Linked DNA regions of Nothobranchius furzeri. The protein of the gene in region 1 interacts with the protein of each later gene in a biochemical or structural test. Links are inferred from orthologs where the notes say so. Each region holds a gene or a part of one and is shown on either strand. Other genes may lie near its edges.

Evidence for each region. The genes of interacting proteins can lie anywhere in the genome.
Region 2: of the proteins of uba1 (region 1) and ube2t, one has a biochemical effect on the other in vitro, tested with the Homo sapiens proteins (4 studies listed by BioGRID, with this or other methods). The link is inferred for Nothobranchius furzeri from reciprocal best matches to the Homo sapiens genes UBA1 and UBE2T.

The regions. Positions count from the first base shown.
Region 1 is NC_091755.1:24,214,430-24,221,380, forward strand, and holds part of uba1 (ubiquitin-like modifier-activating enzyme 1), read right to left. Parts: intron 3,233-6,951; coding exon 3,098-3,232; intron 3,009-3,097; coding exon 2,902-3,008; intron 2,815-2,901; coding exon 2,724-2,814; intron 2,647-2,723; coding exon 2,416-2,646; intron 2,330-2,415; coding exon 2,183-2,329; intron 1,993-2,182; coding exon 1,816-1,992; intron 1,689-1,815; coding exon 1,581-1,688; intron 1,470-1,580; coding exon 1,389-1,469; intron 1-1,388. UniProt on the Homo sapiens protein: Catalyzes the first step in ubiquitin conjugation to mark cellular proteins for degradation through the ubiquitin-proteasome system.
Region 2 is NC_091755.1:24,716,702-24,724,305, forward strand, and holds the start of ube2t (ubiquitin-conjugating enzyme E2 T), read left to right. Parts: upstream 1-3,552; 5' UTR 3,553-3,680; intron 3,681-3,846; 5' UTR 3,847-3,847; coding exon 3,848-3,956; intron 3,957-4,285; coding exon 4,286-4,355; intron 4,356-4,446; coding exon 4,447-4,552; intron 4,553-4,783; coding exon 4,784-4,882; intron 4,883-5,128; coding exon 5,129-5,212; intron 5,213-7,438; coding exon 7,439-7,549; 3' UTR 7,550-7,604. Other genes in the region: transcription factor ETV7, read right to left, coding at 154-244, 443-475; zgc:194242 (uncharacterized methyltransferase YdaC), read left to right, coding at 1,227-1,481, 1,579-1,759, 1,835-2,031. UniProt on the Homo sapiens protein: Accepts ubiquitin from the E1 complex and catalyzes its covalent attachment to other proteins. Catalyzes monoubiquitination. Involved in mitomycin-C (MMC)-induced DNA repair.

The DNA.
Region 1 (6,951 bases):
AAGGATTTCAGACAGAGGATGCAGTGAGTCAAGCTACAAGGGCCATTTCTCTACATACATACCTGCAGCATGCCCCCCCGGAAAAACATTGGACATTTTATATTTAAACGCATCAGTCTGGTGCATTTTTGGGGGGAAAGTAGTTACAGGCTGGCAGCTATGTATGATGAAGTATCTATACATGTTCATTATAATGACATATTTGAGTTAATGTTTTCCTGTCCTTTAATCCATTATGAACACAGACTACAGTGAAATCCACTAATGCATCCATGCTGCTCAGTACCAGAACTGCACTAGATACCAAAAGAACCAATCAGCTGGTAGGGCTCAATGATGAACGTGTGAGCTGCAGAACTTGAAAAACTACGTGACACAATTTAAGGAACAAAGTAGAATCCAGCTGCTGTTATTTATTTGTTGTTGGTGTTCATAGAAACTAAATATATCTGCAGGGCTTTAGGCCCAGGGCAGAGTTTTATACCTCAGACCAGCTTTAGATCATGACCCGTTATTAATAACATGTTCTTTACACCAATCTGAATATTCTGTAATGTTCACAGACATCCACACCGTAGAAATTAAATATAATCAATATTAAAATAAAAATTAATATAATTTTTTCATCAAGATTAGTTATCTGTTATACTTATTTACATTTGATGGTAATATGATTAATAATATTTAATCTCATCTTCCATCATTTGTGGGTTTAGTGCATTCCCTTAATATTAATTATAAAATTACAAATAACAGGTCACTAGTCTGGGCATAGACAGTGTTTCTAGGAACTAACGCTTGTTCAGCAGCTCACCTGTTCCACTGACAGGAGAAATCCTCTCATCAGCAGGTGATCAGCAGAGCGTCATGACTGAACACAGGCCCGAAAAAAACAAAGAGACAACTAAAAACACCGACCTCAGATCGGCCCACCGGGAATTTGGGTCCTGGTTCCGCTCATTACGTTAACTCTCATTGTGATATCAGAGCTTTATTGGCTCTGTTAGAATCCCAGCGCCTGGTGCGGGCGCAGTTTGTTTGTGCGCACCGTGGGAGCGAGCAATGAGCGCACGCGTTTTTGCAGCTTGGGCGGTGCAGAAACACGTTTCAACAATACCGGTGCGCGTTTCAATTAGAAACAGGAGAGAGCGAGAGACTACTAAACCCAAGCGAGCGCAATAAGAGATTTTGACTGAACTTTTTTCTGATTATTCCAACTGACAGATTTCCGTCGCCACGACGGAGAACTCAATTCCTGCTTTAACCCATGTAAGGCCAAAAAATACAAAATTATTATTAGTCTGTGTACTTTTAAAGTTACTGTAGTGCCACCGTTTTCAGACATTTTTAAAGGCACTTCCTGTTTAAAAGTCCCTATTGTGACTCACCAGGAAGTAGCGCTGGTTGGCTAGCATATCCTGAAGCTTTGTGCCAAACACGGCGATCTGCCCGTCATAACGACAGTTCCTCTAGAAAAGCAGAGACGTAAAAATAAAAAAAGGTTAACACCGAGGTTTTCCTCAGCAGTCGTGTGGTTTTGTCTTCAGTGAAAAACACTTTAATATTCTCTGAACACTGACAGGCGAGCACTCTTCCTCTGTGAGCATGACGTCGTCCCCTTCAGACAGACACTCCAGAGCATCAAAGTACAGCCACTGCATCACAGGCATAAATTTCCCCGTAGAGGCCTGACAGGACACAGAATGTAAAATATTTAACAAACTTATTTGTACTGATCACTTTGAACATTCAAGTCTGGTTAAAAGGTTTTGGATTTTTATTCTGCAGCTCTTAGTTTATGCATTTTCCTCCAACCTTCATCACTTCTTGTGCAGCCACGCCCCCGATGAAGGCATTGATAGGAGAAAGATCCCCGGCGGCGACATAAGCCATCTTCTTGATGAGCGCTTCGTTCAGCTGCTCCACTTTGGCAGAGCCCGTCTGAGCAGAGTTCACCTCCTTGGCCAAAGTCAGTAACTCTTCACCATCAGCCTGGAAAACACAAAGCTCAGCAATTTACCAATCTCACTAAATCAAATACACACTGGCACTGCCCATGCATTCTGCTGAGTTATCACCAGGGCTAGCCATTACAAAGGCTTCCAGGATAGCTCCTGTGGAGCCAGTCAATCAAAAATATACGTTAGATACTAAACCTCCAACTATGCAGTCGGACAGATACCTGGCTCCAAGGTGCCGGAAGGCGGCTGTGTTTCTTCTGGAATGCATGGATCGCCTGGAAGCCTGCATGAAGTTGTCCTGGATGGTCAAATTTAGCAAAATCTGTCAGCATGAACTCTGGCTCGGCCATGGAGGTGCAGATGGATTTCTGCAGAGGAAAAGTGATGGTTATGTGCTGATTAGTTGCAACATTAGAAATGACAGTGGCACCTCGAATGCCCTCTAACCACTTACAAAACTGATCTTCTTTGCCATCTTAACTTGGGTGACGATCCCTCCTCTGATGTAGTCGGAAAAGCCTGTCGTGTCACAGATGCTGAAGGTGTATGGACCCAGGACTTTGATTTCCACTGGCTGACACCCGTTGAGCTCTGTCATACCCTGCACCTCTGTGAAGGTGACGTGGTCTCCACTCTCAAACCCGTGACGAGCCTCATCCAGACATGTTACAACACCGGCGCTGTCCTAAAGACACAGATCAGCAACCTTCCTGTTAAAGTCAATCGTCTTTTATGTGACAAACATGAAAGGAACAAGCTAACCTTTGTGATCATGGAGATCATGGCACTAAGCGGCTGCTCTCCGTTGGTATCATATACTACCATCTCCTCCCCAAAGTCACAGAACAGTTGACTACAAGACGAAAGAAACAGAAAATAGTCTAACAACTGGCTTTGTACTGAAGTCAACAGAAAACATAAAAACAAGAGTGAGCTTTACCCAAATAGGCCGCGTGTGTCTGCAACAACCAGCTTGATTTCTTTAGTGTGACAAAACTCCCCCAAACGCTGTTGTTCATCTAGAGTTGAGTTAGTCAGCACCACCACCTTGGGGAAAACCATAGACACCAACATTAAAAAAAAATGCTCTTTTCTCACCAGGAAAATAAAGTCTTTATATTATATTGCAGGTTTACCTGGAACTTGGTAAGGTAGTCTTCAGTGAGCTCTCCGGTGTACGCAGTCACAGAAACGTAGTTGTTGAGTTCAGCCAAATGGGGCTGACTCACTTCTGCTCTGTTCTGCCCCAGATCCTCCTCCCGAATGTAAAACTAACCACAGACAAAATACAAGATGTCAGGAGGGACAAAAACACCAACAGCCCCATTTATGTGAACGAGATGAAAAGAGAAGTCTTAAGACGGGCGTACATTGTGCGACTTTTTCACTCGAAGCACTCCGCTTCAGCTCAAACTGTAAGACTTCCTCGCAGGGCAGATCTCACGAGTCATGCGCTCACACTGCACGACCCAGTTCTCGGATGCGACCTGACTGCTCACACTGTACGTCTGGTAGCAACACATCGGACCTAAAAATAGCCGTTTTTACTCAACACGTTACTTTTTTGTCTTGTTTTGCCTGTTGTCCTTCGGGAGTGCTGCAGGAGGACGCACAGCGATTTATGGGGTTTGGATGAGGAAAACGAAATAAAGAAAGTAAATCTGTGTTTTGTGATCAGTTTAATTTGACATGAACACGACTAACACGCTTTCTTGACAATCTTTGTGAGTAAAAAAAACGTGTAGAAATTAAAACGAACAGCGTGTGTTATTAGGGAAATAGCGGGGAGCGGTGTTGATGCAGGATTGCGCATGTGCCGTGAGCGGTTCTGATACATTTTGGGTCGCAGCTGCTCGCAGCGCCGCTTCAACAGTGCGATACCCTCACGAGGCACGAGCAAAATATTAAACACGCCAGAAGTCCGTGCGAGCTCACGATTGCTGATCGGCAGCTGGTCACGTGGTGTTAATCGCCTTTCGTAACCCCCTGTACACTACATGACGCTCGACGCAAAACTCGCCCTGATCTCGTGGATTCTCGCACGAGTGGAAAATCGGCTCAAAAAAGTGAAAAAGTCACACAGTGTACGCCCGGCTTAAGTTATTGCCAGAACCTCTCCAGCACTCCTCCCATCTGCAGCCTTTTCACCCAAACCTGCTCAGACATGTTGGTCTAACAATAAAGCAACTTAAACAACTAAACCACAGTAAACATGCACTCCACAAAAAAAAAAGAAAGTTATTTTCTAGTTTAGTGCGTGCTAGTTAGTATTGAAGATAATTTGTGTCACGATAGTAGAAAGCTTCACAGTTAATCTCTAAATATGTGTTTTATTGTGATACATAATCATAATTTCAAACATTAGAACATCTTAGCCATTAACTGTTAACTGATTAGCATCTTAAAGCATTTTAATGCAACAACATCAGTCATCAAGAGCCATCTACTTTTACCACTTTATTCCATCTATGAAAATGTGCGTGTTGAACAGGAAGTGACCAATCAATTAACAACAGAAATTAAGTGACCAAATCTTAACTCCCTTTTTTTTTTTCTTTTTTTTTTTTTACCATGTGGGCACCGGAACGAGCCCCCGCACCGTGAGAACAAACACTCTAGCTGAACTTCATCCGCGTATGTCACACGTCACGTGATCAGGAAGCAGAAGATCCATGTGGTAGATCGTTTTGGGCTACTGCTGTAAAAAAAAGTGAGGCGGATCGGAAAAGCTTCTGCCGATCACAATTCGACAACGGATTATGAAAGAACGGATAACGCTCGAAACGCGCGGATTCTTCCCGATGTAAAAAGTGAGCCTCTGCTTTGTTTTGGTGTTGACATCATCATAAAGCAGAACGTTCTGTGACTCTTCCCAAAAAAACACCCCAGAGAAAACGCTGAAAATTGCTGGCAGCGAAGGGCTTTTCTGATCAGGAAACAGCTGGCAGTTAATGAGTTAAAAGTTGGGAGAAAAAAATGCTTAAAGCTGCTCTGCTCTGGGTGGCTGCATGTTGGAGTAGCTCTGTTGACTATAAGCAAGTTTAGCCTTTTTTTGGACATTTTTTCTTCTAGTTTCTCAAGAAAAACCGTATTTTTTGGACATTTTACTTTTCTGTTTCTGGTGCTGTGAAGCTTAGAGGATTTTTACTGCCTTTTTTTTCCACTTTTTGAGCATTTGTTATGATGTGTAACCATGGCAACAAGCTGGTTTACAATTGGGAGCAGCTGATTAACATTGGAAGGGGGAAATAATACCTCAACTGAAGCCACAAATCCCAAATGAGCTAAAACGCAAGAAGCGTGGGCGCAGAGCGGGAGCAAAACGGAGACAAAGATGAAATTCAAACCATCTCTTCTATCGATCACAATGGGCAATGTGAGATCACTGGCCAACAAGATGGATGAACTCCAAGCTCTTTCAAGGACTCAGCCAGAGTTTCGGCAGTGCAGTGTTATGTGTTTCACTGAGACGTGACAGACTACGTTTACATGCAGCCAATATCCGGGTTATTATCGGGTTAAGGTCGGTATTCGGGTTTCTAAGTTGATCAGAATAACCAGTTTACAAGCATAAATAGAAAGAGTTACCCCCAACTTGCATAACCTGATTTAAATGCGGACGATGGGGTAGCGTCAGGACGTATGGACTACGTCCAGACCCAATATGCGTCATTTCCGGTTCTTCTTGTTCCGGTATCCGTGAAAACAACATGTTTCCCAGTTCGTAAGAGATAGCGACCGCGTTTGTTTGCGCTTTAGTTTCCTCGTCACTCCAAAAGTGTGGTGCTGTGCCGCGACTCGCCATGTTGCTCCCAACTTGTCGTTTACTTCCGGTGTTCTGGCGCATACAAGATGTCTCGCTACTCAAAAGACCAAGATTCCTTGCGAACAGAGCATGCGCAGAACACACGCTTTGATGGAGATATCCCGATATGCGTTTACACGACCAAACATTCGGGTTAGAAAAGGGTTACCCCAGGTGTAGTAACCAGGTTTTTAAAAACCCGGTTATGAGCATATCCGGGTTTTTGACGGTGTTTACATGGACCTGCGGAACCGGGTTATTGTGAATATTCGGGTTTTAAAAGGGTTACTGGCTGCATGTAAACGCACTCACAGAGAACTGAAGAGGAGCGGGAAAAGAAAAGGAGGGGGAGTGGCAGTGCTAGTCAACAACAGATGGTGCCATCCAGGTCATGTTTCAGTGAAATGTCTCTGTAGCCCAGATGTAGATCTCTTGGCAGTGAGTTGTCACCTATATTATTTGCCAAGAGAGTTCACCAGTGTTGTCTTGGCAACCGTTTATATTCCACCTTCAGCCATTGCTGAAAGTGCATGTGATGCCATCAGTTCAGTTGTCGCTAAGCTACAAACCCAGCACCCCAATGCATTTGTGGCTATATCTGGTGATTTTAATCATGCCTCGCTCTCTGCTACACTTCCAACATTTCAACAGTTTGTCAGCTGCTCCACCAGAGAAAACAAGACATTGGACTTGTGTGATGCAAATGTAAAGAATGCATACATGTCAAAAACAAGACCTCCTCTGGGACAATTCAATTCAATAATACTTTATTAATCCCAGAGGGAAATAAGAATAGAGAGAAATAAAGAGTTTCAGTACACACAATTTGGAGATCAGACATACATACATGACAAGAATTGGCGACTGTGGTCATTCGCAACCCGAGTCGCGCTACCGTAATAGATCAAGAGGGTTTATGAGGATAAAATCAGGGGGAGGGAAAAAAAAAGGCACTTCAGTGTTACCCTCACCTGAGAGGGTAGCTTTGCTATACAAAAAAAAACAAAAAAAAAAACACCTCAGACAGATATGCACACTAGGGCTGTTGCGGTAACCGCAAGAAGAAAATATCGCGATATTAAGAAACCCACCGCGCTGCAGGACGTGCCACCGCCATTACCGCACTTGATTAAATATCGCGACAGCGCATGCTGAGAGGTAAAGTCCGCGCTGATCGAGGAGATA
Region 2 (7,604 bases), about 500 kb from region 1:
CATGCATGCATGTGAACATGCAAATTCCAAAGGCCACAGCTACCCATTTTTGCTGGGAGGCAACTGCGCCACCATGTGGCTTTAATGCATGATGAATGGACACAGGCATGTAGGAAAGTAAAATAAATAAATAAGTAAAATAAAAAGACTCACTCAGTCGTCCAGGTAAATGCCACAGGTCTTCCTGAGAGGGAGCACTGGCCAAAGGAGCAGGAGCAGGGGGAGGGTGATGTCCACTTTCATGCTTAAAAACATCCACACAAACAGATAGGCACACATAAACTTGAATTTAAAATCGCAACTGCATGGCTCACGTGTATATATGCATGGTTTTAATAACATACATTTGTGTCCACTATTTAAAGTTTTCTGGAAACTCGAATGAGACTTTTATTGCAATTTAAGATCAGTTTATTCAACAGTTTAGCTGAGATTAACTTACCTTGAAAAGGGGTGACGAGGAAATGCTGGCCATTGATATCGTCCTAAACGACTGCACACACCCACACAGACCAAAAAAACACGCACAGACACAATCGGGATGATTTCTTCTTAAAAGTAAAAACAATAAACGCAGTAAATGAAATTCACATAAAGGATACGCTTTTTCAGCGTCAACCCTTTAAGAAAATAGAACGCGATCCACATAGACTTTAAAAAACGACAGTGTTTTCACATTCGACCCTTCCGGGAAATGAAAACGAAAGAAACATAATCCTCAAAGGGGGTGTGTGCAAACGTTGGAGGAAGCGTAGATCACCTTTCCAAATATATTTGAGTAGACGCTTATTAATAAACCGCGTTGTAAACAAATCTGTAATAAACGATGTGTACAATAAATCATTAAACATTGAATTCTTATGCATCAACTATATGAATAATTAAGTTCAAGGTGAGAGGAAATGCTGGATAATTCACAGACTGGGATCAGAAAGCGGTGGGAGCGAGAACCGCAGAAGAGAGCGGCGCGTGCGCGCACAAATAAACGCGAGCGCTCCTCCCACACAGGAAAAGAGAAGCGCGCTCCAGCGTCTCCACAGGGGTGAAAGGAGGCCATTTATTTTTTCAGGTAAACTGGAGGGGAGAACGTGCCTTACTGGTTTAATCCCACGTAACTGTTTAACCCACGTGACTGTAAAGGACTGTCGCTCAAAATGTCTGAACAGTTAGGTTTTTGTGCACAAATTTAAAGTCACCCCGTGTTTTTGTCTTTTTTTTTTCCAGCAATGTGGACCGAGCAACTAGGGAAACAACTTGGCAACCCCACACGGTCACTGGGGGGATGGTTGGTCAGCAAACTTTTTAAAATCCGCAACCAGGTTCTGGAGGACAACGCAGTGCAGCTTTGTGGGATCCAGCCGGGTGACACAGTTCTAGAGCTGGGTCATGGTCCTGGTCTGGGTCTGCAGTCTGCAGCCAAGCTCCTCACTGAGCCCACGGGCCACCTTATAGGGGTGGACTACTCTGAGTACATGCACCAGGTGAAGCACGGTTTATAAGAACTACAACAGCTCGATGGTCTAGTGGAATATATTTATATGTTCCTTTTAGAATAGTTAATAATTTGCTCTGTTGCAGATGGCAAAAGAAAGGATGAAGGATTTCATTGCCAGTGGTAAAGTGACCTTTCACCTCTGTGATGTTGCTGCAATGCCTCTGGCTGATGACACAGTAGATAAAGTATTTCACTGTAACTGTTACTACTTCTGGCCTGATCTCAACAAGGCAGCCACAGAGATACACCGGGTCATGAAACCAGGTAATATGACGGTTACATCCACCTAACATAAACCTGCTGCAAACATTGTTGTTTCCTGATTTTTAACCCATTCAGGAGGTCTGATGGTAACCACAATGAGACTTTCCCATGTGGCTGTTTTGGGAGCAAAGCGAGTGATGCCAGGAGAGAACTGGCGTCCAGATGCCTACATGGCAGCGCTCAGAGACTCTGGCTTCACTGATGTCAAAATGGAAGACAAATATCATCACAACATCCCTTTTCAGGCGATGTTTGCCACTGCTTCAAAATGAGATGTACCGTCAAGCTGTATGTGTGATTCTATCAGTTTGTTTTTTTAAATAATAATAATAATCACAGTGAAGATAAAGCTCTAAATTATTTTCAGATTCTCAGTTGTGTCACAACATTTAGTTCTGTGCTCTCATTGTGCAGATGAATTCTATTTTAAAGACACACAGATGAATTGTTACATTGAAATGTTTTAGTCGCAATTAGACATTTTTCTGTTAAAGTTCTGAAAAAGTTGGGAATATGTGTCAAGTTAATATTCACATTTCTAGGCAATAATTAGAATAGTTATTTTCTCTAAAACACACTAAAAATGATTAAAACTATACATTCATAGACTAATAATGTTGTTTAAAGAAGTAAGAATCTTTTTAATGTAGTTGATAAAATGTGGGAAACTCCTTTACTTTGTTATTATTATTTTTTTAAGTAATTTAGAACAGACGACACTAAATCATTCATGTTCTGTACCACTCATGTTCACTCGATCCAGCAAATTTATAAGAGGTGAGACCCAAGACAGATACCAATCTAAGAGGCTGAACTCTCAAGTGAGTTTTCTCTTCACACACAAAACCCGAGAGTCGTTTAGTTGTCGCCACTGGAGAACGACAATTCATCTGAGTTTGAAGTCCTGTATATCAAGCTGGGTTTAGCTCTTTTACTCCACAGAATTATCATATTTCAAACTAAATAAATACAGTTTAATTGTTTTCTTATTCAGCTAAATAGTATATAAAGACTGTTAGGTCGAGTTTTCTTGTCGCAAACACGCTAAAACGTTTTATTTTGAAAAAACTCAGGAAGTGTTTCTACCAAACCTAAAAAAAGAATTAGTATATCTTCTCCTCATTTGTTCTCCTAAATTTTATTATTCATAAGAAAACAAAAGAAAAAGAAAGATTATGACTTTTTAAATCAGCTTTATTGAAATATAAAACCTAAATGATCTCTTCTAAATGGTTTAACAGAACTATGGTGTAGTTTCGCCCTAACTCCACTAGATGGCGGTAGTTCCCCTCGCCGTTCACGGATTTGTAAATCTCTCTTCTTCTGCCGAATGTTATTACTCCCAAGAGAACAAAAAATAGGATTTTTCAGCTTTATTGAGATAAGAAAAAAACATGCAAAATCCACACAGAAAGGCCAGAGAAAACATTTGATTCAAATATCCATTTGATGCAGAAGAATAGTCAAAAATAGTATATTACAGAAAGACTGGAAGAGAATTAGAGAAAAATTTCTAAAAAAATTAATGTTGGAAGAGGTAAGATGCACAGTTAGAAACATGCGTGAATATTTTGATACTCAAACAGGATACACTGTTTTGTTTAAACTTCAGCAAACAACCAGAAATATTTCAACAGAAGAAGAATAAATATTTTTATTTTCTTGCGGAATATTTGAAGCAATATTAAATAAAAAAATAGACAATCTTGAGAAAAATAAAGAAAAAGAAAAACACTTGTAATATTCTATTAGTATCAGTTGGTGGAGGTAATGCACCAATCTGTGATTTCAAGCTACACGAAGAAGAAGCAGCGCGAGGCGGCGGCGCGTCGAGAGGGAAATCCAAAAACAACTCCGCCAACAAGTAAATCTTGTGAGAAGTTTAACCGCTCAGAGCAGAGGAGGACATCAGCTGGGAAACGTGAGTGAATAAGAGAAAACATCGATGCTTGTTTGTAACAATGAGCCTGCTAACCCTAACCCGAGCTAGTTTAACCAAATTCTTACCAGAAAGCACGATTATCTCAGCGTTTATCTTCACATACCCTCCTTATTTTATGTATTTATTTATGTTCCGCCTCTAAAAGAATGCAAAGGGCTTCCCGTTTGAAGCGTGAACTTCAGATGTTGAGCACCGATCCTCCTCCCGGGATCACATGCTGGCAGACCGAGGAACGGATCGACGACCTCCGGGCACGTAAGTCCCACCAAGTCCCTGAATCTGAAACCACTATCATACAATCTTAGTAGAACAGAACCCATGCAGTAGCTCCATTTTTACTATCAGAGGCTTCTATGTCTTTATAAACAACAGCCATCAACGTTTTGGGGATAAATCTAGACTTTTGTCCATAATTAACAAACATGATCTGACTGCAGTGTGTGTTTTTGGTGTTCTTCAATACTTCGAAATGAGTAAAGTGTCTAAAACTTTAATATCCATCCTTAGTAATAATGGTTATTAACTTTTCTTATTATTTACTTGGATGTTGCTGTTCAAAAACTGTTTTTTTCTCTTCCTTGCAGAGATAGTAGGAGGAACAGGTACTCCTTATGAAGGTGGAGTCTTCTCCCTTGAGGTCAAGATACCAGAGAGGTTTATATTTTATTTGCATTGATGAAACTTCTGCAGTTTTTTTTTACTAGACACAGTAACTTGCCAAGTGTTTACCATTCTTTTCACACAGATATCCATTTGAGCCTCCAAAAATGCGATTCTTGACCCCAATCTACCACCCAAACATCGACACCTCGGGGCGTATCTGTCATGATGCTCTCAAACTACCACCAAAGGTTGTGAGAATAAAATAAACTTTTGATGTGCTTTATTCTAATTTTTTTCTTGCTTTGTACCACCTGATTGTTTGTGTATATGAGCGCACACACACACACACACACACACACCACACACACACACACACACACACACACACACACACCACACACACACACCACACACACACACACACGCACACACACTCACTCGTGTGTGTATGATCACTTTGTTTTCTGTGTTTTTTTCAGGGTGCCTGGAAGCCGTCTCTGAACATCTCCACTGTTCTTACCTCGATTCAGTTGCTCATGGCTGAGCCCAATCCAGATGACCCACTGATGGCAGATATCGTAGGTCATCTTCTTTTAGAAACGTGATCTCATGCTTCCTATTGGTTAGTTTTTATAAACATATTGGTTCCTGTGAGTTAACATCAATGAGGAGTTTAATGAGAACCTGTTTTTAAGATATTTAATTTGAAAGTTTCTGTGAAATCTGGTTTATTTTAACATTGAAACTGTATCTGTGAGCATGTCCAATCAAATGGATAGTTACAGTGCATGTTTCTGACTTTCAATTTTCTGTTTCAAATTCAGTCTTCAGAGTTCAAATACAACAAACACGTGTTTGTGGAGAAGGCCAGGAGGTGGACACAGGAACATGCAGTTCAGAAGAACACTGTAAGCTCTTATTCTCTCATTCACACCGTGGTTCTGCCAAACAGCCACTCCATTACATCTCATCTTCTAGCCCGTTTGGTTCTGTGAAGACCTCTGGGGCAAACTCAGAGGTGGATCAACTTCAACCATCTATTCTGTCACCGTTGTTTCACACCTGACACAGATGCAGGAAGGCGTAGGGCTACTGGAAAATATTTAGTGATTTTCCTGATTTATTAAAATGGTTGATTTCATTGTTCACTCAATCTGTACAATTTTGGTTAGATTTTTTTTATCCTTAATGGTGTAATCATGTGCGTTGGCTTACTTGAACCACTAAGGGGTGCTAATTTCAAAAGAAAACCTCATCTTTTAACATTGAAAAGCACAAGTTGTACATGTAAAGGGAAGGTTTTGAGCCACCATAGTTCATGTGTGCTTTGCTTCACTCATTTTTGTGCAGACACACTAAGTTGGTCAAAGTGTAATGGAGTTTACTAAAAGTGCAGAAACTGGTTCCCAAAAAGGGTCTTCCTATGACCGAAATGAAAAATTAGTCAAACTCCAAAGCAGATGTTGATCGATCTTATTTTTTCTATTGCTGATGTCGATAGATAAAGGTCATGGTCAGCCGACGGCCGGTGTCGGTACAGGATCTGCTCGGGTGCAAGATCGGCTCGGGGTCCTTCGACTGCCGATGACGTCAAAGTACGGCAAACCCACTCGGACAAAATACACTACACATCTATACTGTTGGAAAGAATTTAGCAGTTTTGTTATTAAAATAATGTTTCTTAAGACATAAGTTTGTGTTTATAATGGTATTTGTAAAATAAAACACTATATTTTATTCATAATGTTGAACTCCTCTTTGAGCACATCCCTTGAAGAATCATAGGTATTAGCAACACCTGTGAAATTGTATTTGCAGGAAAGAAGTGTGTCCCGTTTATTGAAGTATTTTGTTTTTAGAGTTTTTGACGTCTTGTCCATGAGTAGTTCAGTTACACTCATAGCTGCTAGCCAAAACTCTGGAGTTAAAAGTTTTCTGGCTTTACTAAAATACCTGTCTGTACTTATTTGATTGATGATATTTTTACTTTCTATTAGACTCCAAATGTAATCATTTGGCACGTTTCTAATTCATAATTTGTAATAACGTAATCGGCGATATTAGCATTAGCATTCCTATGGGTTTTTCCATGTATATCAGCATTGCGCTAACCACTCGCTGCCAAATTGCAGCCTTTGAGATTAGAAAATCTCCTTTTGTCACATCGCAATTTAATTGCACATGCAGTTAATCTTTCAGCCCTAATATACATACAGCTCTATGCTAAAAGTGTATTTTCAAAGAGGTAATGACGGATTTCTTTGTAAAAGTTGTCCATCTTTCCAATAGAAAGATTTGCCTGGACGAACGTAACGTGATAACAACGTAACGTGATTAAGTAATTCCGTAAGGTTCATGTTCAGCCAATCAACTACTTAGACGTCATCGGCAGTCGACGGACCCCGAGCCAATTTTGCACCCGAGCAGATCTTGTACCGACACCGGTTTGTGCTGCAGATGTTTTGGGCCAATTTTTCATGGCCAATATCGAGATGTTTTCCATCTTATTATTTTTTTTTTGCTAAAATGTCACTAATAACATCAGTTGATGCACAAAATTTCAGAAATGGAATCAGCTTTTGAACACTGACTTTAGCCAGCTGTTAAATCGGTGTTAAAATAAGACATCTGTCTAAAGTTACTCAAACAAATCAGTAAACTGACCAAGTGTTAAATATTCCAAACTGGTAAATAAAAATACATTTTCATTGGAAATAGTTTTTATAGCAAAGATGTTATTCAGTAACATAAAAATGCACTTAAAATATAATCTGCGTTAGCTTCAGGCTGCCCAGGGATGTGCCTGACTTTAAATCAGCTTTACTAAGGAGGTATATCTGCTGATTTCGATATATAAAAAAAGGTCAAATATTGACCCAGTATATTGGCTGACCAATGTATCGGGCTACCCCTACTCCAAAAATAAACTTGGAAAATTCTTATGAAAGCCTGAAGGCTGTTGACTCATTGGGGAAAAATGATAGTGGAATGAAGAGTTACTTAAGACTTATGCACATTTCTACAACCAGATGGGACCATTTGAGTTTCTGCATTTCTCTTTAAAGTTGCAGAGGAGCACCAAAAAGCTGCAATAGGCCTGTTAGTCTAAATCAGTTTTCTGTGTTTTTGTTCAGGGAGTTGCAGAGAACGACAAAGAAAACACTCCAGATCAGAAAGTCCCTCCAAAACGAGATGCGTTCTCTCAACAGGAGACAGAAAAACCAGCAAAGCGACATTGTGTGTAGCTTCAACATCGTTGCACATCTGTTGACTCTTTGTGGTTTGAATCTGCAATTTAGT